4 linked regions of the Drosophila melanogaster genome follow. The gene in region 2 interacts genetically with the main gene of each other region. Each region holds a gene or a part of one and is shown on either strand. Other genes may lie near its edges.

Region 1 (7,135 bases), on a different chromosome or scaffold from region 2:
ATGTACTTAGAGCCCGTCCTCATACAGAAGCCAAATCAGTAACCGCAACTTTACCTAATTTTAAAAAAAATCTTTGCAAATGATTCCGAAGTAATTCTAGCTGGGGCGTACGGAAAAAATGGTTTACTTTTAAAGGAACAGATCAAATTTCGCCGACACGTACACGAACCATTTTTGGAAGTCCAGCATTCTTATCCTTGAACTTCCAGCTTGACAAAGGCTTGATCGCGACCTAAACGGCGGTAGCGGAGGACTGCTCAGGTTGCTACACTGGAGATTGTGAAGTCTGGGGTCTGTCCAATCGAAGAAAACAGGTTAGGCCGCAGCCCAATCGCATACTTTAAAAGCAGAACAAGTCTCTAAAAAAACGAAAGTCATCATTCAAAAAGCATTTCGCGCGACAGACTCAAACTCGTGCCCAGTGTACATCTGCTAAGGATATCAGACAAAAAGACGAAAAGAACCCTAATGATATTAGGGAACTGGCTCTTGCATTCATTCCAGCGGCAAGTTTTTTGTTGTGCGGCGTTCGAAAGAATGATCAGCAAATTTAAACTTTTTCCTAGAACTGATCTTTTTTTTATCCAAAACGTAAGGAGGTATTCATCCTGACTTAAATAAATTTCCAAATACAAGCATATACATATATACATACATAAATATAAAAGAAGCCATGATAATCCAACTTACAAAATTATGACGAGTTCTGTTTAAAAAAATACATACGTATCAAATAAAATATTTGTAAACTATCTAAGAAACTGACCATTCTATGCCTAAAAATCGAACAGCTTGTGCAATACTAAAATTAAATGTTGACATTATTAAGACCGTTGCTTTTACTTTCTTCGCCAGTGCCATCCGCAGATGAAATACATACTAATACATATTTTATCACGTATGCACAAATGAAATTGACGCTGGTATATGCGTTGTGTCCAGCAGCAATGTTGCAAGAAGAATAAACTGTTTTAATAAAGTCCTGATTATGATAGAGGCTTTAACAGCCTTATAAGTCAAACTTTGCAAAATGGAGAGCAGCCGAAATTAATTAATCTTACCTAATTCAATGGCATTTAAGATCTTTTTCTGTCCAAAATATTGAATGTATATTCATCCCGATAAGTTTACAAAAAGTCAAAAGACATTTTGTCATTGAAACATAAGTAAGGCCGCAGAAAAGTAATACTTGCAATCAATAAGTTGAATACAAATTTTTTCTAGTCGCAAATCTCAAGCGAGCGAATATTTTCATTCATAAAACTAATAATGTGGTAGTCAAACATGTTCGACAGCGAACCGATCCAGCGGTTCGTACCACAGTGCTGGCAGGTCTTTCTGCCTAATATTTCTGGTGCCAATAAGTTCAGAGGCCTAGCAAACTTAGCTGTTCAAAATTTTGCTTTAAAGTATTTATATATTTCTTGTAAAGATAAATACTTTATTTCTTATTAAGCATATAATTTACTTATGGAAGAAATATATTTTCTGGCTAAGGGCGCAATTTTTTTCAAGCCATACACACATTAGGACAACGGACTCTAAAAAAACTGAATGGTCAACACTGATAACCAAACGCAGTTCGACCGCGTGCTGCTTTTAGCATGAAGCCAGCCGGTCCCTGGCGCAGGCCATTTCAATCCGCAAGATATTTTCAATCCGTCAGATACTTTCGTTGTGAACAGTCGTGCTCCGGTCAGAAGATTTTACGAGAAATCGTGAAAATAAAAAGTTCTAATAAGTTGAAGATAGTGCCAAAGCTCACATACGGCTTAACCAAACCACAAATTAAAAAAGTGCCTTTAAACAATACGTGACATTTCAATAGGTTTATGTTAACATAAAGCCCGTAATTGTGAATAAATAAAATATAAGCCCACAAAACTATTCAAATACCGTTTTCGGATACGCGCTACTTTTAAAGTTCTTGAATGTCCTTCGCGGCTATGGCGAATACCAACACAGAAAAACTTTACATGCAACTAAGCGCATCGGAATTATCAGCAATTATTATGAAAGGTGGGTATTTACCTTTTGCACGAGCAAAGGACACTGCACCTGTTGCCTGCGAATTGTGCGGCACCTGCAAATACTTACATAAATATACACACCTACATACATAGGTTTTTTATGTCTTGCAGTCGGATGATTATAATCATTTCCCGCAAAATATTTGTCGACAATAATTTGTCAAATAGCTGTATATTCATTTTTGTAATCGAAACCCAAAAAGAACGAATACAATCATTAAGGCAAGGAGGCTATGGCCCAAGGCTATGCAATAGACACTGAAGATAATTGACGACCAACATTGTTAATAGGGGGTGCTGCCGTGTGCACCCAGAAAGCCCCACCAACTAACACGTTGCAGCAGAATCATATTAGCAGCAGACTTGTGAGGATGGCAATTAAGATGCAGACAGATACGTAAATAAAGCCAACTATGTGTCGCCAGCGTACTCCAACTTTCGTCTTGTGTTGCATATGTCGGCCAAGCACTTTGCCCGCAATGGCGAATTTGGGACGACGATGTCGCCAGACATATTGGCAATTTGTCTGTTTGTGAAGCTGGAGCGACAGTTGGACTCTGCATTGTGTGTCCCTTTTCACCACCGCCTGCTGATTGTTATAATGTTCGAGGACAGACGTTAACTCCTTCCATATTGTTGGTACTGTTTACGTCAGCATTTCATAAAATCGATTTTATTTTTTGTTTCTGTGATCATTTATTTAAAATGCTAGTCTTAATCAGCAACGTTTCGAAATGATTAGTCTAGATGGCCATTGGTTTGGATAGAATAAGGTGTCTTTAATTTAAATTGATCACTATGAGTTTATAAAAATTCCACTTATATTATTTTACTACATAACGCAATGTAGTAACAGGAAAGCCGAATGATATTGGGTTCGTTTTATAACCAACGTAAAAATGTCCTTACCAAGTGTGTCAAAGTACTGCATGATCTGGATGTGTTCTTACGATTCATTCATAAAAGTGATGCGTCATTTTACTACAATATATTTCATATAGTCGCTATAACATATTTACATTTATGTACGTATGAGTATATGCACTTGTTATGATAAGACGAGGCTTCCCACACAGGGAACGCTTCCCAGTGGACCGACCGCCAGCCAAAAGCCGCCTATGATGATAACCTTTCGTTGACTTTTGGCGTGAATATGGGATTTTCTTATGCCTCTGACAGTTAATGTCTGCCGTTTTTAAGTAGGTTTTAGCTGATTTTCGCAGGAGGGCATTCATTCTTAGAAAAAAAGGCCAATAACGGGAAAACCGTTGTCAATTTCTGAGCAAAACTTGCTATTTTGTACTTGGCACCTAAAGACGGATCAGATCCATAAAAAATAAACTAATTTGGGCGTACAAAAAACATCTTAAAATATTCTTAATATAAACAATCGAGAATAATACCTTCTTCCGTGTATACTAAAAATAAAATAAAATGTGCAGGTATTGCCCTTTGGTCGTTAGATGTAACTTTAAGTGTCTGATACGGACAACTTAAATATAAATTGGTAGAAATTTATTTTTTAAAAACTTGGCAAGCTTTAAAAATGTTTCCGTTTGGCACAGGTGTTTTAAACTAGACGACGCCTGCGAGGACGGTGGCTTAAAAGTAAACATTTGTCTAAATATAAATTAAAATGCGGTATATAAACCACGCAAGACATGGGATAGAGTTAGGGCTATAAAACTGATGTTATTTGTACAGCCTGATTTCGTGGCCGCAATGTCAGTCAGTTGCTTTGAATTTCGTTTCGTTGTTTATCTGCCTAAAATTAGAAAAGATAGCAGAATATTGTGCTTATAAATAGTTGAATAAACATGCAAAAAGCTTACCTTCCGTAAATGTGTGTCCGCACCGGTTCAAACAAACAGGGAATAAATTTACTCATTCTTAGCCAACTTAGCTTAAGTAATTAATTTAAAATTAATAACAAGTAATTATTGTATGTATGATTGCTGACAAACATATACATATATATAATGGATAGGCTGATAACACAATAATTGATTACAAAAAAAATTAGCTGTTGAAGACAAAGTTTTTTTTTGCTTAAATACCGGAATACTTATAAATATCCTAGCAGATTCTATACCTTTATACTTTGCTGGCACAACCAAAGTTGAAATCGCAAACAAATTCGATCCATGTATGTATGCTCGTTTATATGCATTGTGATTTTTTTTTAAATTGCTAACCGGGTTGTTGGCTTCTGATGCAGTGGCTGCTTCATGCTGAACTTGAACTGGCTTTATTCGCCAGACTTGAAATAAATTACTTTTAACAAGTAAGCTGCGTTTCGGCACTTCAATACTTGTGGAGGTCAGTGGTAAATTAAGAAACCTGTTTTGTTTTCGTGATCAATGCATAATTTCACTTTATATAATGGACTTTCTTCTCATGTAACCTCCGATTTGAATGTATTAAATAGATTTCATAGGGTGGAAGAACATATTATAGATAAGAAAATACGTCAAAACTACGTCATCCAATTAGTTTCGATCAGATGGTAATAAAAAATAGTAACTAAAGATTTGGGATTTATTGAATTTTGAAAAGTCGAAGGGGTGTCACACAAAGGCAGTCGCAGCCCTATTCGGCTTGCTGGCCTGTTCCGCGAAAACGGGGGTTTTTTTAAATTTACGAATACGAAATGCCAAACATTAGTAACCGGTTCGGCGTAATACGTCACAGATAGAAGATAACTAACTCTTAAATTTTTTGGTATTTTTAGATTCACCCAATTCCAACGACCGTGATGCGGGTTTTTGTTCCGCCAGTTCGGAAAGCGAAGGCGGAGACGACTTGGTCGTCGAGCACGCGCGCAGTGGCAGTCCCGACATCAGACCAAAAGGAACAGACTCGGCGGACTCCAAGCCAATAGCCCTTGTCCGCAACAAACGCAAGAGTTCGGAACCCTTCAAAGTCGTAGGTTTGACGACTCCCAACTCTAAATCCATGCCTGGTCCTCCGTCCAGTGCGAGTATGAATGCAACTGGTCCGCTAAAGAAACGCATACGATACACATCTTCCGCCGATTCGGCAGTTGTCCTAACGCCACCAGCCATAGACTCTCCACCGCCCAACAGTTGCATACCTTCCACGTTGCGCCTGCAGCATGAAATAATGCCTAATCCGGCACATATATATGTTCGCCATCCGGGAGTTACGACTCTTCACAGATCGCTTGCTGCCCACCCAGAACAGCTGGAACCACTCGCATTAGTAACGACCAAAAAGCAATGTGTCGACCAAGCGGGGCCTAAAATAGAGGCCTTTTCCGCATTGCTAATTGGAAAACAGCCATCCGCCAAAAAAACGTTGAAGGAAAGGACGCAAAAAGAATCAACGTCATCTTCCTTTTTAGAAGCTAGTCTTAGCGATGAGGATCTGAACAAGACGGGATTGGCACCAATTTCGCGACCTCATCAACATCAACGCAATTACAAGAATATGACTAGGGAGCGCCGCATTGAGGCGAACGCACGTGAACGGACCCGTGTACACACCATATCCGCCGCCTACGAAACGCTCCGCCAAGCTGTTCCAGCCTATGCCAGCACTCAAAAACTTTCCAAACTCTCCGTTCTTCGGGTAGCGTGTTCCTATATACTAACCTTAAGTAGAATGGCTGGCGAGGATTACAGCGCCGATCAATCCGTACCGTCCATTGCCACGTGCTTAGAAGCTGTAACATCAACCATCCAAACGGAGGGAAAAGTGAAACGAAAGAAAGACGAGTAATCTGTCCAGTTTCGTGGATAACTTACTTTTTTAGACTTTAAATGCGACTGATTTCTGCTATTTTTTTAAATATTTGTGCTTAAGCTTAGATTAATCTGCATACAGCATTCCTATCCACATGCTTTGATTCTTTGCCAGAAGTGGCCTAATAGCTTTAAAAGTTTTCAAGGCTTTGTTAGATATACAGACTTCATGAGTTTAAAAAAAAAATTTTTAAGTATGCCTGCATACAATTTGTATTTGATATTGACATTGTTATGAATAAATACTAGCGATGTGATCATAATTTAATCTCTACCTACAGAAACATTTTAGTCAGTACAAAAAGTCAACGCCATCTATGTACGAGTGTATAAAAAGACAATAATCGGCATCCTTAAAACCTATGTAAATGACAATAATGTAAACTATATATTTACCTAAAAAAGTTTCAGTTTCTTGTTTCAAACAGGATTTTTATATCAATTTACAAGTTTTTAAAAGAAGCTTTGCCAAAATGTTGTAATTTCACCATCAACTTTAGTTACCTTAGGACTGAATATGAAAATGTATATTTTTTTACATGTACCTCTATAATAAGATCAATTCTTCTTTTACGAATTGCATACAACAGAGATAATCAGTAGTAATTAAAAATCCGTAGTTACGAAATTAAATAAAGAATTTAACAAATTTCAGTTTATGTAAGTAACTGTAGACGTTTCCTCTTCAATTGTAATCTCATTGTTTTGTATACATTGATATATTTGTACCCATGTATACATTCATAAGTGTACGTGCCATAGAATCAGGAAATACACAAAACTTACTATAAAGAGAATGTATTTTTATATAGAGTTGGGATTTCAGGTGGTCGCGGTTAAAATATTAGTCATCTGGGTGCAAGCGCACTAAAGGAAACCATATAGAAATGACGGCTTTAAGGGTTATTTTATGTCTGTACGTTAAACAATCTTATCGTTTGCAACAAGCTATTTCGTGATATTAAAAACTCAACAGGTGCGCAAAGAACGGCACGCTATCGATTTAAGTACACCTGAACGCATCCACGTTATCGTAACGAGTTTTGGCAAAACTTAGTCCCCTTATCAGGTTCGGAAATATATTTGTCAGCTTATCTAGCAGGCACAAAGTTTACCAATATCACAGTAAGTTGACAGTGCATTAGAACTCATGACGTACTCTGAAAGAACTCAACACTATTAACTATGCATATTATTAACAAAGTAACTGCATCTAGTTGACCCAGTGCAATATCCAGAACAAATTACATCAGCTAAGAATCCTATAGAAAACAGGTTAAAAACAGCAATTTCCGATCAGTACATATATAATGACTTGAGCATTGGCGTTATTCAACAAAG
Region 2 (4,689 bases):
TTACGAAATAAAAATAACCATAAAAATATAATTTTAAAATTGAAGAAACAATTATACTTTTATATTATATTGTATTTAATTTTACAAAAATTTGATTTTGTTAATTATGTAAATATGAAAGTTTTTTATGCAGTTGTTTTCAGTGTAGAGCGATTAACCGTAACTTATATTCACAGAGAGCGGACAAGAACACTTTCACCCTTTACGCCATTTTGAAATTGCCGAGATATTCAATTTATATCACTAAACGTACATATGTAACCAACCTTTTTCGGGTTTCTTAGAAGATTCAGTGGAAGTGGCCAGAGGTGCAGGAGTCTGCAAATCAGGAACTTCATCAAAACGATTTTGGCGCACAGAAAATGCTGCCGCCTGCAACTCGCTCAGTTGCGTCACAATAAGTAGCAACAAAATAAATAAAATGCGACTCATTATGCGTTTAATGAAACATTTGTTGGCTTATACTTAAAAAAGAATCGACAAGCTCAACCTAATCGTGTTAAATTGAACTTAAAATGCCGCCATTTTGCACTCGATACCAGGAATGCTCGATATCACAGCAAGTCGAAAGCAGTGTACTGTAATTCTCGTACGTGTGCTGTTAATGTCAGTAACATTTTACTGTTAAGCGCAACTTCTCTTATTAGCAAATTGTGCAAGCAGTTCAAAAAATAAAAATGTTCAATATAGAATTTCATTAATATTATAAAAAAATAAACAAATATTTTTTTAGTTGATATCCTTGGCAAAAAATATTTTTAAAACCTATGAGTAAAAATCCGGAAGCCAGTAAATCGAAAACCTAGTGTTCTACCAAAATAAATTTAATAAATTTTAACAATGTTTGTGACAATGATCAATGCATAGGGCGACTATTGATATTTAGAGTTTCACAAAAATTAAAATGTATTGCATCAATTAAAATTAATAAAAGAATTTGTTTTTGTGGATTAATTACGTTGATGTTGTTTACGTCTATTTTAAAATTGCTTATGCCGGTAGTTTTGTATGGAATCGATAATAAGCAAACCAAAAATCACGAATATATCGATGTTTAAACTCGCTGTAGTTGCATAGTTCTGCCACTCTAAATTCAAGTGGTTTGTTAACGGGGGTATAAACTTTCAAAATTGTATTTACTCTCTTATAACTTACCAAAATTTTATTATTATTATATTATTGCAATTATTGCAATTTTGCAATTTACCTTAAAAACTTTAAATTGACGTATTTCTAAAACGAAAGCGCTGGCCACGAATAAGGCTTTCTAGTTTTTATAACTTTTACATCTTCACAAACTTTTACGTGCTTTTATTCGAAAAAAATGGAAAATTTTAGCACGCCGTTTAATTTGAGTTAAGTTTCCGTTTAAAATACCGCAATAAAGATGGCGTCCCAGAGTAGCGAGAAATCGATATCGATGCCAACTCATTTTTGCGTCACACTCAAATATCGCTAATTCGCCAGCTATTGATTACCATATATATTTAAAAAGCGAACCAGAACGTAAAATAAATATTCATTGAAGTCCAATAAATAAAAATAGTATAAAATATGGATAAAGCGATAAAATTTCGTGCTAGAGCTATCGGGGGCTATCGAAACGAGCACCGATAATGTATCGCAGTGCCAAATACTCGTACGTATCGATACTATCGTGCGTGCTACCCGCTCTAATCTTGTACAGGCTCGCTTCTTCGTCATGCTGCGAATTTGTTCGAAAAATAAGTGAAATACAGCGCATTAATAGTGAAAAGTATGTGCAGCCTGTGCAGGGCCCAACTGGCGATTAGCCGCGTGTGATTGTGGCCGCCGTATCAGCGTTTTGGCAGCGCCCAGCCTGGCGAAAAACCATCGAAAAAAAGAAGAGAAAAGAACGCCAGGCGCAGACAGACAAGACTTGCATACACTACTACTTGAATCGTTTCATTTCGTTCCGTTCGTATACCGAGTTTGCTGCCCTGTCCCTGTCTTCTCACGCGAGTTCGTTTTTAGTATATATAGCCAGTCTGTGGACGGTCGTCAATGCGTGAATATTCTTCTATGTGTAAGTGGTGTGCGTGTATGTAGATTTCTGGTTAAGAAAAGCCCCAAAAACCAAAGCGCCCCGCAAAATATATATTGAGTCTTCTTGGCCCAACAACAAATCTGCCGCCGGACTTTCGCCCGAGGGCGAGTGAAAAATTCAGTTTCTCTCCTCTCGACGATGCACTTTGGAGGCTGTGTGAGTGTGTGTGCGAGTGAGTGCGTGTGTGTATACATATGCAAATGATTGGATGTCGAATCCTTGCATCATCATCATCTTCATAAACACTTGGCGAAAAACCGCAGGAAAACGCAAGCAGCCGAACAAAAAAAGAGAGCCTCTCAAGACAACGGCAGCGGCCAAAAGTGAACGCGCAACAAACGCGGCCAAGCAGGCGCGGCAATTATTTATAAATCTTAAGCGTTAGCCCCCCTCTCTCTCCCACTCACGAAAAGAAAATAAGTTAAACAATTGTGAGATGATGCCCCCTCGTCCATTCCATTCCAGTGCTGTGTAAACGCGAAAAATCGGCATAGAAAATAATTACGAAAAAATCATTACTGTGCTGCCCGTTTCATTCGTTTCACACAGAAACTAATAAAGCGAGCAAGGGAGAGAGTGAGCGAGCGAGCGAGAGCGCCATATGCCTTCAGCCTGGATGGCGAGCAAGTGCAAGTGAGACGGAAAGGGATACGGCGTGTGCGTGTATAGCCGCCAAATGTGAAAAGAGAGAGCGAGAGCGCCAACGAGAGTGGATGCGCTCAAACTGCGAGAGCGGTTGCGGCAGGGTTGTCAACGCACTACGATTTGCCCACCGTACGCGGCGGAAAATAAATTGTTGTGGTATTGGTGCTGCCTGTTCGAGTGAGCATGTGTGTGCGTGTGTTAGTAGCGGACTTTTCAATACACAACAGCCCACGAACGAGTACAAATTATTTATGTTTAACCCGCTCGATTTAGGCCCAGTGATATAGGACTGCCCCCTTTAATAAGCCAGACCCCCTTTGCCAAATGCTAATCCCCCGTTTTTGATAACTTGCAGCTAACATAACCTCAAACTCGCCGCTGCAGTCGTCGTCATCATCAGCGTCAGCGTTGTTGTTGTTGGTGGTTACCGGTGTTCCATCAGTAGCCGCCACACATCTGGGAAAATCCGATCCGGAAAATCTGGGAGATCGGGAGCAGCGCAGCCAGAAGCCGATGAGCAGCCATGAATGAGAAAATAAAGTCGCCGCAAACACAGCAGCAGCAGCAAGGTGGCGCTCCCGCCCCTGCTGCCACGCCCCCATCGGCTGGAGCGGCTCCTGGTGCCGCTACACCGCCAACCTCGGGCCCGCCCACACCCAACAACAACAGCAACAACGGTAGCGATCCCAGCATCCAGCAGCAACAACAAAATGTTGCCCCACATCCATACGGCGCACCACCGCCCCCAGGATCTGGTCCTGGAGGACCACCAGGACCGGACCCAGCTGCAGTCATGCACTATCATCATCTGCACCAGCAGCAACAGCAGCATCCGCCACCACCCCATATGCAGCAACAGCAGCACCACGGCGGACCTGCACCACCACCGCCCGGAGGAGCACCTGAGCATGCGCCCGGTGTCAAGGAGGAGTACACTCACTTGCCGCCGCCTCATCCACATCCGGCGTATGGTCGCTACCACGCCGATCCCAACATGGATCCATATCGCTATGGCCAGCCGCTGCCAGGTGGAAAGCCTCCACAACAACAACAGCCACATCCTCAACAGCAACCCCCGCAGCAACCGGGGCCCGGTGGCTCACCTAATCGTCCGCCCCAGCAGCGCTACATACCCGGTCAGCCTCCGCAGGGACCCACGCCAACGTTAAACTCTCTGCTTCAGTCCTCGAATCCGCCGCCTCCGCCGCAGCATCGCTACGCCAACACCTACGATCCCCAGCAGGCGGCCGCTTCGGCGGCAGCGGCAGCGGCGGCTCAGCAACAGCAGGCCGGTGGACCCCCTCCACCAGGACATGGACCGCCGCCACCGCAGCACCAGCCATCGCCGTACGGAGGGCAACAGGGCGGCTGGGCACCGCCACCAAGGCCCTACAGTCCGCAACTGGGACCGTCACAGCAGTACAGGACACCACCACCGGTAAGTGATCAAAAAGGGGATATTTGGGGATAACAAGGATAACATGCTTTTTTGGGATAGAAAAGTTGTAAATTGAAAGGTATATTTAGTTGCGTTCACGAGAAATCATTGCAAGTCCATAAAAATGTTTGAAAGTTCTGTAGATACAAGATATTGTGGAAGATACATCTAAAAGTCAAGAGTATTCGGCTTAAATAGTCTCCGAACTTGAAATAGTTGTAAATACTTTGTTCCGGTGTAATACGTTGTTTAGGAATGCCTTGAAGTATTTACCAAAAGCAGTGTTTTTATGATTCGTTTTAATTCACAGCTTCCGAAAATAGAAAATGCGGTTGTCTTTTCAAGTTATAGTATCTTATTTCATATTTATTCTCAATATTGCGGGGGCAACCTTCGGCTTTAAAGTAACGAAAAACTGGATGGTAGCTTAAACGCCTTCCAGGATAGAAACTTAATGAAAAGGACACAATAAATGTTGTGTATTCTGTAACAAAATAACCATTTTCCGAAAAGAATATTAAATGATCTAGTTGTTGCA
Region 3 (7,279 bases), on a different chromosome or scaffold from region 2:
TGATGACAACCCTCGTTTTCACTTCATATATTTGCTCAATAATTGATATATTCTTGCGAAAAATAATATAGTTTAAAATGTTTTAGCTTAGCGCGTGGTTTCTTTGAAAATAAAGCTTAGCGCGATTAGAATATGAGTTTGACCCAGCTTTACAAACTACTCATTAATATTAAAGAATAATAACTAACTAAACTAATTTTGTTGACCCAGGTAAGTTCCCATATTTCGGACCTTATCAGCGGCCTCGACCATACGCACTTTACACGCACTTCTGCCCCATTCACTCGGAAATCTTTAGTTCGCTTTGCCAATCAAAATCTAGTCTATTTTTCTTTTACTCGCTTTGATACTATTCTAGTTTAGTGATTGCCGACAAAGTCATTAACGATAAGGCCCGGATCTTATTAAAATCTGTTGAGCTTAAGTGGATCTTTCAATATCAAGCCTCTGCTTATCACGCAAACAACCAAAAAAAATTTCTGACTAATCGCCGAAACATAGGAATCGTATGAAGATTTTCTAAAACCGGTCAGCTCAGCCCGAAATTTAAGAATTTCTTATCAATAGGGTCAGTTTTAAGCGCTTTGCTTGCATATTATTTAATGCCTTCTGCGAATTTTGTTTTGGTGAAAAACTTTCTATGAAGTCGAACATTCGATGACAAAACCATTATAATTTTACGTAACATTATGCAGAGCAAGGATATTTGTGTGCCTTTCTGCTTTTGTTTGGTTTCACTTTCTTAAAATCCACGGTAGTTCAAATTTACCACCCGGTGAGCTCTGAGCGTCCTTGGCCTACCTACAAAACCAAAAATACCGATTTTCAACATAAATTTAACATAGCATGTCCTTGCCATAAAAATCTACATAAAACCATTTAAAAGTCAATCCGCAAAAGTCACAGAAAACGTCTATACAAGCAAGAAAATTTCAACGATGCAGCTCTCTTACAATTTTTTATTATATTTCCTTTCTACCTGAATCCGTTTTTTACTAGTTCCTTTTTACGATTTCTTTTTTAGACGTGTGCCAATAATTAGTTGTCCATTAAACTGAACTTCCACGTCTTTGAGACTTTGCTCAACAGGCTACAAGGAAGACAAAAAACTCACTCAGTATAGCTGGTAAAAAACCGTCGACCTTCTTTCTTACTTTCTGCACTCCTTAAGCCGATGTTTTGTTTACTTCCTGTTTACTCGTACAGCGCACGCTTGAAATTCAACCCCGTCCGTGACATCTCTTTTCATGAATTTTGGCTCTTTTGCTCTCGCTGTTTCATTTTCGCCCTGTTCTCCATTGGCGTTCATCCCCCTTAGACACATTAGTTATTTTCTATAGCTCAAATGTAAAAAGGGGAAATGACAAAGGCACATCTGAGTGAGTTTTTGTTGTGCGTCCCTTACTAACTCTAAAAACTTCTACGTGATCTTTATGTGGTGTAATATTCCTGCAAGTGCAGTTTTTATGAAGGCTCTAAAAAACACAAGCGGAAGTGGTCATAAGCATTAAAAAATGTCCTTTAACGGTCAACACATAGTTCTGATTTTTTATGTTTTATTACTGACTAGAAACGTAAAGGTCATAAAACCCTCTACTCAGCGAAGATAATTCGCATCGACAACCTATGTTAAAAAACCACATCGTCCATATTTGACTCTAACTGACTATATATCTTTTGCATTGAAAGGAACCTCTAGCTGTCTCATTCGCACCAATTTGCATATGAAAAATTAGCACTTTTAGGTATAAAAAGGAATCGATGAAATCAACTCACTCAACTCAGCGAAGTACCCAGTTTTTACTTTACCTGCTCAGGCTTGGGGATCGTTTTTCGCTTTCGCCGTGATGATTTCCCTTCCTGTCTGCACCCTTATTTGCGTGCGTGTGAGCGGGAGAGCCAATTGAGTCCCGGCGTGTGTGCGTACGAGGGTGAGTGAGAATCTTTCGCCGAGACAGAGCGTACTTATAGTTAGCTCACGCAGCGAATTTGTATCAGTCGTGATTTGGCTCTGTCAGCGAAAGGAACAACCATTTGTTGTGCCACACACAACCGCGAGTAATATAATCGAATCAAATTTCAACTACCTCATTTTGCTAAATCGGTAAACTTTTATAAAAGACAATTTTTGTGAAATCTCTCTACCTCAAAGTACAAAAGTGTGTACAAAAATTATTCATATCCCTGAAAGTGCACAAATTGCTCAAATGAAATTTTGTTGTCTAAAAAACTGAAGCTCCAAAACCACGAAGGCGAATATTATAGGTGTTTTCTGTGTGCGGGAAAACATTGCGCGAGCACAAAATTAGGAGCACAAGAAGAATTTGTTGATGTCCATATCAATGCTTCAAGACGCACAAACGCGAAGTAAGTATTAGACCAAATTAAAATATTCCCCAAGTTTGTAAACTATCTAGAAGTTCTAGAGTCCCCGATCACTTTCTCATTATTAAACAGTCCGATGTCTTTAGGATAGAAAATACAAATGTAATGTAATTGCACACATACCGATTAGTTAGAATTTGTTTACATGTTTGGACAGGAACCGGCACTTAACTCGTTATCGACCAAAACAAAAACTAGTTAGACGAAAATAGAGAGCTGCGAAAACACTAAGAGTTCTCTCCGTACGAAACTTTCTCTCACACATGTATCATATGTAAAATTTTTTTCTCTTTTAAGCCGTTGCTCTTAAGACATTTCCAAATGAAAACATACTAACTTATGATTTTTTTTTTAGCCTTAGCTGCTGCATTAGCTGGCATAAAACAAGAGGACGTTCATCTAGACCGTTCCATGTCGCTATCGCCCCCCATGTCGGCCAACACATCAGCTACAAGCGCCGCTGCGATTTATCCAGCTATGGGTCTCCAACAGGCGGCCGCTGCCTCAGCTTTTGGAATGCTCTCACCTACCCAACTTCTGGCTGCAAACCGTCAAGCTGCCGCATTCATGGCCCAACTGCCCATGAGCACATTGGCCAACACTCTCTTTCCACACAATCCGGCGGCTTTGTTTGGGGCTTGGGCTGCCCAACAGTCGCTCCCGCCCCAGGGTACGCATTTACATTCGCCGCCAGCCAGCCCGCACTCGCCGCTGTCCACTCCTTTAGGTAGTGGCAAGCACCCATTAAATTCCCCCAACAGCACTCCCCAGCACCATGAGCCAGCGAAGAAGGCTCGAAAGTTATCGGTTAAGAAGGAGTTTCAGACCGAGATCAGCATGAGTGTAAACGATATGTACCATACATCGGGAGGCCCAATATCTCCGCCTTCCAGTGGCAGCTCTCCTAATTCAACGCACGACGGAGCGGGTGGAAATGCTGGATGTGTCGGTGTCTCCAAGGATCCATCTCGCGACAAAAGCTTCACCTGTAAAATCTGCTCACGCAGCTTTGGCTATAAGCACGTGCTTCAGAACCACGAACGCACCCACACCGGTGAGAAGCCTTTCGAATGTCCGGAGTGCCACAAGCGGTTTACTCGTGACCATCACTTAAAAACCCACATGCGTTTGCATACTGGAGAAAAACCATATCATTGCTCGCACTGCGATCGTCAATTCGTTCAGGTGGCCAATCTTAGACGACATTTGCGAGTCCACACTGGAGAGCGTCCCTATACTTGTGAAATCTGCGATGGCAAATTCAGTGACTCCAATCAGCTTAAGTCCCACATGCTGGTACACAACGGTGAAAAGCCGTTCGAGTGCGAACGGTGTCACATGAAGTTCCGACGGCGCCACCATCTGATGAATCACAAGTGTGGCATCCAGTCGCCGCCTACTCCCGCGCTTTCACCGGCCATGAGTGGAGATTACCCCGTGGCAATCTCCGCAATTGCTATCGAGGCATCCACGAATAGATTTGCGGCAATGTGTGCCACCTACGGAGGTTCGAATGAGTCGGTCGACATGGAAAAAGCGACACCGGAGGACGATGGTCCATTGGATTTGTCTGAAGATGGAGCCAGCTCTGTGGATGGCCATTGCAGCAACATCGCACGGCGCAAGGCACAGGACATTCGTCGGGTTTTCCGGCTGCCTCCACCGCAAATCCCTCACGTACCCAGTGATATGCCTGAGCAAACCGAGCCAGAGGATTTGAGCATGCACTCTCCTCGCTCTATCGGATCTCACGAGCAAACCGATGATATTGACTTGTATGATTTAGATGATGCCCCGGCTTCTTATATGGGCCATCAACAACATTAGGCCAGTACCACACCGAATTGTACATAGCCCTAATCAGTTTTCATTTGATGAAATTGACTGGCATTTATTAACACAAAATTGAAAATTTTGCTATTTCAAAGTGGAAAGTAAAAATTGTTGCAACAGGAATATAATGATAAGTACAAGTTTAAAAAAAAATAACATACAAAAAAGTCGAAATTGTACAAAGTAAGCCATACCGTATGCTTGTTACCGCCAAACCCCACCAAATCAAATCGAAAATGTCGTGCCATTCTTTACCTTAAATTTAAGTTATATTCTTAGGTTCGGAATCTTAAATTGTACATATTCAGCTTACACAGCTGCCAATTGTAAAGTAATCGGCGCTCTAAACATGCATTGTTGCAGAAAAATAAAAGACACGAAGTTTAATTAGGAAATCTATAACTAATTTTATTTAATTTATTAGCTTAATTTTTTATAATTTAATCAAATTCTTTAAGAAAACAATGCCAATAATCTTCAAATCAAAACTAACTTTAAGTTAAATAATAAAAAACATTTGTTTGATAATTGTTCTGTTTGCATTCTCTATTTAAAACTATTATTAAATATAAAAATTTAGTTAATCCTGTTTTTTTAAAGATCATTCTTAAATGTACACTTTTATATTTATACTTCAATAAATATTTGGTTTAATTGTTGCTGCTTCAAATATAAACAATAAAGAAAAAAGAAAATCAATGGTAACGTTAATATTTAACTGATTCCGCTTTTATTTCATATTGCCATAACTTAAACACAGTTTACGCATCCATTTTTGAAAATCTTTTTTTTTTTGTTGCAAACTATAAGAAACGTTAATATATATTCCAAAATAATAACCTAATGTAGATCAATGCGTATCGAAAGTATAGTAATCCCACTTATCTTAACACTCGTAACTATTAGTTTTAATTGTAAGACTTGAACCAAATACACAGGAAGAAATTGCTATAACCAAATACCTCCAATACCTCTGTATCGAAATTGTTGTGAGCTAAACAGTATATACATTCAACAATTTGGCAATCGTACAATTCAACTGAATTTATATACAAGACTTAGGAATATAAACTACGAAGCATAAACAATTTATATGTATTAAAATTTTGATGCATATTTAAATGGACCTAAAATAAGAAATTAATTTTAAATACTAGGCCAATTCAAATTACATATAAAAGTATATAAGGTTGTATATAACAATAACAATTTGAAATAAATTTAGTGCAATTTTTCGTTCTATTCATTGGTAAGCTTACTGCTTTTATTTTAAAACGTTGTAGTCATAATAATGTAACAAATTAATATGTAATTTTCTTTGTTCATTCAAATGTATGGTATACAAGTTCCTCAAGATTAAAAGAATACAAGAGCTATAAACTAAAATAGAGAGTGCATTTCTAATCATTTGAAAGTCAGCGCACGAAAGACATCATATTAATTGTGTACAGCAACATTCGACGTTTAACCCAATAGATATAATTAAATTTATAAAATCACAAGTCAATTTTTATGTAAATAAATTATAATCCTAATTGTGGCTAGGGATGTGCAATGTATCAAAAAATAAGAGTTATATGTGTTAATTAGGGGGTTGCTAATTTTAACCCTTTAAAGACATACACACATACACCTTGTAAAATACGTCAGTAAATATAAACTAGAAAATGTATTTTATGGTACATGATTGCATTAGATATGTCAGTCTAGCATATAGTAAACGAAACTGTTACTTTTTGTCATAACTATTTCTTCTCTAATTTAATGTTCTACCTATATCAATAATAAATACATATGTATACATCGGCAAATATGTATTTATTACATAAAAATCGAAATATATTATGTTAAATTTAAAAATTGCTGTCTGGGAAACCAAAAATAAATGAATATAAATATATATATGTATATATATGTATATACATATGAGATAATTGTGTAAAGCAAAAAATATTCGTAGCAACCCCGCTTTAGAAAATTACCCACAGCTTTCTTCGATTTTTCGTAAAAGAGAAAACGGGCAGCATTACATAAATTTTTAATTTATGCAAACGAAGCCCTTTCGCATTATTTTACATTTGCCACAAGACGCCCCACTAATGCCGTCGCCACGTTCCTCCCCACGTCACCCCCTTTATTCATCCATCCCTTCACTGGAATTTAAATTTACGTCTGCAGGCAACGGCAGCAGCTGAGCAAAAACGAATATAAAAATCGCGCCGCGCAGTCAGAAAATGTCACAGTGTTTTTTCCATTTAATCTCCAGAGAGAGAGAGCAAACATCTACAATGCTATGAAAGAAAGTCGACGCCACCCACTCATACCAATCGCCTCCCGTTCAGCCATGCCGCGGAACTGACGCCTTCTCTTCTTTGTGCCCCTTTCAACAGCCAAAAAAGGCTTCATCCTGGCAGCCCCCTCTATATAAAATTGTATGTACAAGTATTACATAAAGAACGTCTTATGTACTTACACACGTACATATATAAAACGGAGTAAAAGAGTGAGACGCAGGACAAATGCTCACGTTTTGTGATGCTTATTAGCATTTTAGGCTTTTTTCGCTTAGACTTCTGTAAACATACTCTATGAGCGTATACGTAAATAAAAACAATTCAATAATTAAAAAGTTAAACGTAATGTTAGCCAAATAAACCTTATGCTAAAACTGTTTACCCTAATTTTACCAATAAAAGCTTATTATAAATAAGTTAAAAGAAGAAACGGGAATAAACTGGTAATTGCCAGTTTTATAGTGTAGATAGGTACGTATATCTTATTCGAACCCCCAATCCTCACCCTCAAAAGCTTTTTTTTTAGCTGCCGAGTAAATAGTTTGGTGTTGGACATAGAAAACTTTCAAATGAGTTTACGATTTTTTTAAATATTTCGTGTTCCGCAAAGGAATGAAAAATAAAAGGCCTTGAAAATGAATTTAAGGCCTTCGCTGGCAAAGAACCGCCGACGCACCCAACTTACTGTCGTTATTATTTAAACTGAAAAATTATAATTTTTACCAGCAGACTTCTGCTCACAAATTCTAAGACTGGCGCTTATCCAA
Region 4 (6,718 bases), 9.2 Mb from region 2:
CACAATAAGCCCCTCGCGAATGCCTCCGCCCACGCCTCTGCATGTGCAAGCGGGATGGCCAGAGGCAGGAAGTTCTGCGTGCGAGCGAGAGGCAGCGTGCACCCTTAGCGCCGCTCATAAATGTCAATGGAAATGAAAAGGCTGATGTTATTGTTTTTTTTCGTTTGTTTTTGGATGGAAAACAGAATGAACAACATGTGGGTTTCGCTTTATTAAACATCGCCTGGAGGAGGAAATGCCGAAGAGGCTCTACACACGACAAAAAATATACAAACATTCTAAAGACTCAAAACACTATGCTTAAATATTTGCAAATTTATTTTAAGGTCTTTCAGCACAATGATGTGATGTATTGATGTATAAATTTAAGGTTACTGTTTGTAATTCATTAAATATGATTGTTTTGCAATTGATTCCAATCCAGTTTGATTACTTTTTAAGTCGAGGTTCATGTCTGAATTTCATTTTTCTGTGCAACCAGAAGGTATTTATAAATTGAGCTCAAAAAAATAAAACGCACGAAAAATGTTCAAAAAATTTGCATATGTCAGTGTAACAAAAAACCGAAATTGATGGATGGAAAAAAGTCGGCGACTGAAAAACACACACTCGCGGGCTTAAGCCAAATAAGCTCTAAACGAAACGAAACGAGTTTTAACAAAATATTTTTGCATTGCTCAAACGCAGCTCAGAGCCGTCAGAGAAACAAACACAAATGCACGCCGGGGCCAAATAAAAGCCATTCAATTAATATCCGGACAGAAAACAACAAACAAAAGTCGCTGCAATTTTTCTGGTTTTATTTGTTTTGCACTGCTCCCATTTTGTGGTGTTTGAGGGGATATGGGAATTCGATAAACAAAATCGAAATTGGCCAAAATCGAAGGGATGTACCTTTTTTTTTCTTATTTTCGTCACCACTTGTTGGTCTTTGTTTATTGTTATTATTCTTTATTGGCACTTTCGGTGGCTGCGACAGCTGCGCGAACTAACGGTACGTGCAAATCGGTTGCGCAGCGCAGACGGATTGGCAACATAACCGTAATCGTTTGTTTTTGTTTTCGTTCTTTCGATCACTATCACTTCATCGATACTTCTTTCCCAAAACAGCACACGTTTACGCACCGAAGTTTTGGGAACACATTATCCATGCTGATATAATCCACGAACTCGACTCGACTCGATTCGATTTGATTCGATCCCTCGCGCGCGCTATGTAAAATTACAGATAGTGGCGCGATTCGGTTGCTTATATAGACTTTTTGCCATTTAGACGGACCGTTTATGGTAGTTTGAAAAATGCATGAAATACATTGAAGAAGCAAATGCTGATTGCCCACCTCTAGGGATCTCGCTCTTAAGGTTGTTGTCCTCGCAAAGCACTGGCGAGGTAAGAAACTTGGCTAAACCAGGGACTGTACGCACACACTGCTTGTATGAAGACGTGAGTACTGCTTGCTTAAGAGTGGGCGGAGCTTATTTAGGCACACTGCTTGCCACCCTTAAGTGAAACTTTGGCCGGAAGTAAAATTAGGGGTTAATTGCACGGCACTTCAGCCAATCAAACCGGGTTTCAGGCCACACTTCAGGTGTTTAGTGGGAAGGGGGTCCTTTTTTTTTATTATTATTATTAGTAAGCAGCATTTTAGGCGCCCCCGCTGCTGCTGTTAATTTTCTGATGTGCCGCGTAATTTGCTTTGTTTTTTTTTTTCACCCAGTTCCTCTGCCGACGTCGACGTCAGGATAAGCGTCGCTTGACCAGCGGAAGTAGAATTATTTGTGGCACTTCAGTCGCTCGCCGATTACCCAAGTGATTAGTTTGGACAGCTAACGCGGCACATCCTCAAACGAAATGCAACGTCACAAAGTTGAGATTGGCTCACCCGACGGCTCGCCGGGCATCAAAAGGAGTGACAGCTTAGATCCCATAGCGAACACTACGATTCTATCCGTGCCGCAACGTCCCTCGTCGCCGCGACAGTTTTTCGAACGTCTGTACGGGCATTTGGAAACGCGCTCCTCGGAAAATGGGGAAATCGACGTCGGAACACACGCCCACAAGCCGCCGCCCTGTGACACGCCCTATCACAGCGATGGAGGAAGCGTCTCCTCGCCAGACATTTCCATCAGCGATGAACGCACCTCGCTAGCCGCATATCCCGCCTACGATTTCTATGGTCACGCCAAGGACTATCCGCAGCATCCTAGCCAGCAGCACCAGCAGCATCATCATCATCACCATCATCCGCCGCAGCTGGTGCACCAGAAACTCAGCTACGTGAGCCCGCCGCCAGCAATTGCCGCCGGTGGAGCTGCGAATCCTGTCCTGCCACACGCATTCCCAGCCGGCTTCCCAAGTGACCCGCACTTCAGCGCCGGCTTTTCCGCATTTCGTGAGTACTTACATTTAAAAAAGAATGGTTTCTAACAATGTGTAGAATATTTGCAAAGCTATGCAGAATCTTTAGAACTACGAAAATAACTTCTTCAGAACCTTAACTCTTACATGTTTATTTTGAGGTTTCTTAGTTCTTACACACTAAGTACAAGAGTAAATTTGAGCTACTACGAATTTGGTCCTAACTAGATATTTAGGTGAGCGGGGATTTGTACTACGGCGGGGGCGAGGATTTCTTTGGCTTTCCCTGCTTCGCTGCTTTCTCCGCCGCCGCCTTCTCCTCCCGCTGCTTAGCCATCTGGCGCAGCTCCAGGCTGAGGAACATCTTCAGGTTCGGGTCGGTGATCTTGCTCAGCACAATCTCTCGCGCCTCCTCATCGTTGTCGCCCAGCAGCTTGGCCAGCGTCTGTGCGTAGTCCAGCCAAACGCAGTTGGCGCAGCCCGACATGCAGCAGGTGGTGGGCTCGGGAGGTATCTGCAAACGATTATATAATATGCAATCTCTTGAGCCACTTTCCTCTTAGGATAGAAAGTTATTTCAGTATTGTGATAACAATTGGATCCTTCGATAATACTGCTCAATAGTTTTAGAAGTTCATAGAACTACACTAAGTTTTGTGTTACAATACTAGATCGATGATCCTTTCTTTCTAATGAACTACAATCTTACCAACTGATATTTAACCTATAATAGCAATGATAACAACTAGCTTACAACATTACCTCTATGTTTCTGAGCCGCTTCCTTCCCTTGGTGGTTTTATCTTTGGCTTTGGGAGTGTCAGTGCCCGTCGTTGTGCTATTGGGCGGACAGCCACTTGCTGCCTCCTGGGCGGCCGCATCCTTGCTGCTGGCATCATCCTGGGAGCTGCTGCCCGACAATTGGCGGGCCAGTGAGGCCCAACGCTCGGCGCCACGTCGCAGGAGCAAGCATCGCGGACAGCTGAAGCCCAGGGGAGCCAACATTTCCGCCCGATCCCCGAAAGAGTTCGAAAGTTACGATTGAAAAGGCCCAGAGGAAGTGATGAGCATTTCACACGCCTGCGCAGGTGCAGCCCAGATGAACTTGGTTCCGCAGGAACTGCAAAAAAAAAAAGTCGGATACGCAAAAAAAAACTGATTAATCGTCAGTGCTGCAATATTGAATATCCCCCACATCTTCGCACCGAGTGCGCTGGCCAGGATTATGTAAAATCAGTTGGAAAAAAATAAACGAAACTAAGGTGGGGCAACCAAGCAATGCCACACAATGAGCTGCTGCTGCTGCTGCTGCTGCTGACCCCCAAATGCAAAGAAATTAGCCAAGGAAAAAAAATAACCGAATGCCAAGAAAAAATTAAAACGCATTGAGCCGTGAAAGTTTTCGTTTACTTGCGGCTTTTTCGTTTGCTCCTGATGAGGTGGCCAAGGTGGCCAGGTGCGGAGATGAGGTTGAGGGGATATTGAAACATGGAAATGCGTCGGCTAATGAAAATGATCGCAGGTTAAGGGTGAATGGGTTAGCCATTCGTAAGCAAGAAATCAAAGTTAAAGACACTTTGAAACCTTTTCTACGAGCAGAAACGTATTCTACATATGCAAGCATTTTTTAGATTCAGAACAGTTGATATATTTAATGCTAAACCAGCTTGGTAGTTACTATAAGTACTTGATCTTTAAATTAACTAACTTACAAGCCAAACTTTTGGTCAATCTCAAAAAAATAACAAGTGTCTGAAAAAATTAGCATTGTAATTGAGCTCGGCAGGAAACCTAAAAAAGCAAACACAAACAGCAAGCGAGGAGGGTTAAGCGAGGAAGACTCATTTTTAGCCACAACAAACCGTCCGAAAGGACACTTGGCTATCGAATTACACACGTGATTTAAAAAAAAAAAAAAACCTTCGGCAAGGATCAGGGAAGAGCTTAAGCCCCTCCAGAGCCATCCGGACTAGGGGTAATCAAGCAAAAGCTAGAGATTACAACGCCCACAAAGCAACCCCTTCCCGGGGAAACCCCCCCTCCCCCCCCCCCACCATCCTAACACCACCGAGCAACTTGTCAGCTTCGCCTTGTTACATCAATTAGACTCTAAACCGCAACATTCACCATGGTGTGGGTGTTTGTGGTGGGTGTTCCTGGGTGGCAGGTGCTCGTTGTTGCAGGATGAAGTGGGGCATAATGTGCGCTTGGTTGAGCTTCATCGTCGGCGACACTGCGAATGCAAACAATCAAACGACAGAATGGAAAACTCGAAAGAGCGGATGATGCCGAGAATTTCGACGAGGATGATGATGATGATGATGGCCAGCCAGCTGTTGGCATTGTTATAACTTTCCCGGATCAGCATAGATTGCCGAAATGAAAAGCGTGGTAAAAAAAAAAACATAGAGAACAGAAACTACGTGGTAAATGCACTTTTAATGTGCACCACAAACGCGACCGACGACGAATTCTGGCAGGTGGGCGGGCGGAGAGAGCAAGAGAGGGAGGACGACGGATGGACCACGGATCGGAGTGGTTAATTATTTGTTTAACTGACGCAGCGACACGCAACCACATTCGAAAACGTTTAGTCCCGCTCATAACTTGATGGTTTGTTAATGTAAGATTAATTTCGCTCTAACATCTCCATTGTGTTGGACATAAACGAAAGTGGGTGGGCTGTGAAAAAATGATGCTATCCGACGGATGTCGTTATTGTACACACTGAATGGTGCGGGGTTTACATAACTAATAAGCTGATTCCAACTAGATATTATACACGTATTAATTGTAAGGATATCAATGTATTTGACTTTCAGTGGCTCGCAGGCGACGCAAGGAGGGAAGACAACGCCGCCAGAGGACCACTTTCAGCACAGAGCAGACGCTTCGCCTGGAGGTGGAGTTCCATCGGAACGAGTACATCTCCAGGAGTCGTCGCTTCGAGCTGGCCGAAACGCTGCGCCTGACCGAAACGCAAATCAAGATCTGGTTCCAGAATCGCAGGGCCAAGGACAAACGCATTGAAAAGGCTCAGATCGATCAGCACTACAGGTGGGTTTCCCCTTTAGCTAATTTGAATCGTTTTTTCTGTTTCATATGTACAAAGATATCATCGATTTTGATTGAGTTAAATAATATTAAATGAACATAAATTAATGGTTGATGAATAGCTCGTGAAGAGGATTTTAACTGGGTATTTATACCTGCATTTTCGAAACGGAAGTAATTTAGTGAAATGTCACTAGTTTAATTGATGGCCAACATGAAATTAACACGAAATTAATTTTACGACATTTATGCGCACACAGACCCAATTAGACGATATCATTTTTTTCCATATTTTTTTTTTTTTTTTTTTTTTTTTTTTGTGCCGGAGGGGGTTGCTCGAAATTATTTTGTACATTGATGTAATCAATTTTTCAGAAACTTTGTCGTGGCCAATGGTTTTATGAGCTCTATAATGGGTCAGGCTGCCACGACCATGCCCCCCGGAGGCGTCACTGGGGGCGTGGCGGTGGGCGTGGGCCTAAACTACTATGCCGCGGCAGCGACGCCGGCAGCGCTGCCCAAGGATAACACGCAGGATGCCAATTTCATCGACATCGATGACCAGTTCCAGCGCCAGCAACAACAAAAACAACAACAACAGCAGCAGCAGCAGCGACGTCGAGAAACAACAACGCCTATTAACATTTGCTAATACTTGCTAATTGATTACATTTATTTGAGCTTTAAACTGTTTAGATTAAGATCGAATAAAAGTCATTGTGAAAACATAACAGATTGCAGGAATTGCACTTTTCGAAGAAATCACTCACTGCTTGCCAACAAACTTACGTGTGTTGTTATGGACTCAGCATTTTGCACTTGATTTATTTATATAAGAGAGGGTTTTTGAGGGAAAACCAGGAAATTTGTTAAAAACCAAACAGCAAAACTAACAAACAATAATGCAGCCCTGGTGCTCAGCCAGCTGTTTCTGCTGCTAATAACATGGCGGAAACTATCGATAGATGGTTACATAGATGGTAACAGTGTTATTTCAAATTTAATTTATGAAAATATCCTAAATGAAACAAACATTATCCCCCAGTAGTTCCCGCCAGATAAATGGCCATAGCTTCACGATTTAGATGCACAAACTGGCGCCTTTTCGGAATTGGTTGGACATTCGGTAGCCGCGTTCCATTCACGGCATTCAAACTCAGATTCGAGCTGGGATCGTAGTCATCGGAGAAAAGTGTATCGTCGGAAGAATTGGACTCAACCAACTGGCTTCCTGCTCTTTGAGCCGCCGCCGCCGGCGCTGCGCTAGTGGTTGATTCTTGCTCCTCCGAGGATTGTGTTGTGGAC

Evidence for each region.
Region 1: of osa (region 2) and net, changing one enhances a phenotype caused by changing the other (phenotypic enhancement), as found in Drosophila melanogaster (2 studies listed by BioGRID).
Region 3: of osa (region 2) and Kr, changing one enhances a phenotype caused by changing the other (phenotypic enhancement), as found in Drosophila melanogaster (2 studies listed by BioGRID).
Region 4: of osa (region 2) and ro, changing one suppresses a phenotype caused by changing the other (phenotypic suppression), as found in Drosophila melanogaster (2 studies listed by BioGRID).

The regions. Positions count from the first base shown.
Region 1 is NT_033779.5:81,904-89,038, reverse strand, and holds net (net), read left to right. Parts: upstream 1-1,651; 5' UTR 1,652-1,946; coding exon 1,947-2,019; intron 2,020-4,761; coding exon 4,762-5,771; 3' UTR 5,772-6,618; downstream 6,619-7,135.
Region 2 is NT_033777.3:17,715,314-17,720,002, reverse strand, and holds the start of osa (osa), read left to right. Parts: upstream 1-1,652; 5' UTR 1,653-2,047; intron 2,048-3,068; 5' UTR 3,069-3,236; coding exon 3,237-4,151; intron 4,152-4,689. Other genes in the region: Pxt (Peroxinectin-like), read right to left, coding at 267-432. UniProt on the Drosophila melanogaster protein: Trithorax group (trxG) protein required for embryonic segmentation, development of the notum and wing margin, and photoreceptor differentiation. Required for the activation of genes such as Antp, Ubx and Eve.
Region 3 is NT_033778.4:25,224,622-25,231,900, forward strand, and holds Kr (kruppel), read left to right. Parts: upstream 1-1,989; 5' UTR 1,990-2,330; coding exon 2,331-2,367; intron 2,368-2,740; coding exon 2,741-4,212; 3' UTR 4,213-6,773; downstream 6,774-7,279. UniProt on the Drosophila melanogaster protein: Krueppel is a gap class segmentation protein. It is involved in the segmentation of the embryo and in the differentiation of the Malpighian tubules.
Region 4 is NT_033777.3:26,876,240-26,882,957, reverse strand, and holds ro (rough), read left to right. Parts: upstream 1-1,786; 5' UTR 1,787-1,852; coding exon 1,853-2,393; intron 2,394-2,498; exon of another isoform or gene 2,499-2,612; coding exon of another isoform or gene 2,613-2,873; intron 2,874-3,121; coding exon of another isoform or gene 3,122-3,364; exon of another isoform or gene 3,365-3,479; intron 3,480-5,181; coding exon 5,182-5,416; intron 5,417-5,788; coding exon 5,789-6,065; 3' UTR 6,066-6,187; downstream 6,188-6,718. Other genes in the region: CG5500 (uncharacterized protein), read right to left, coding at 2,613-2,873, 3,122-3,364; ms(3)K81 (male sterile (3) K81), read right to left, coding at 6,448-6,718.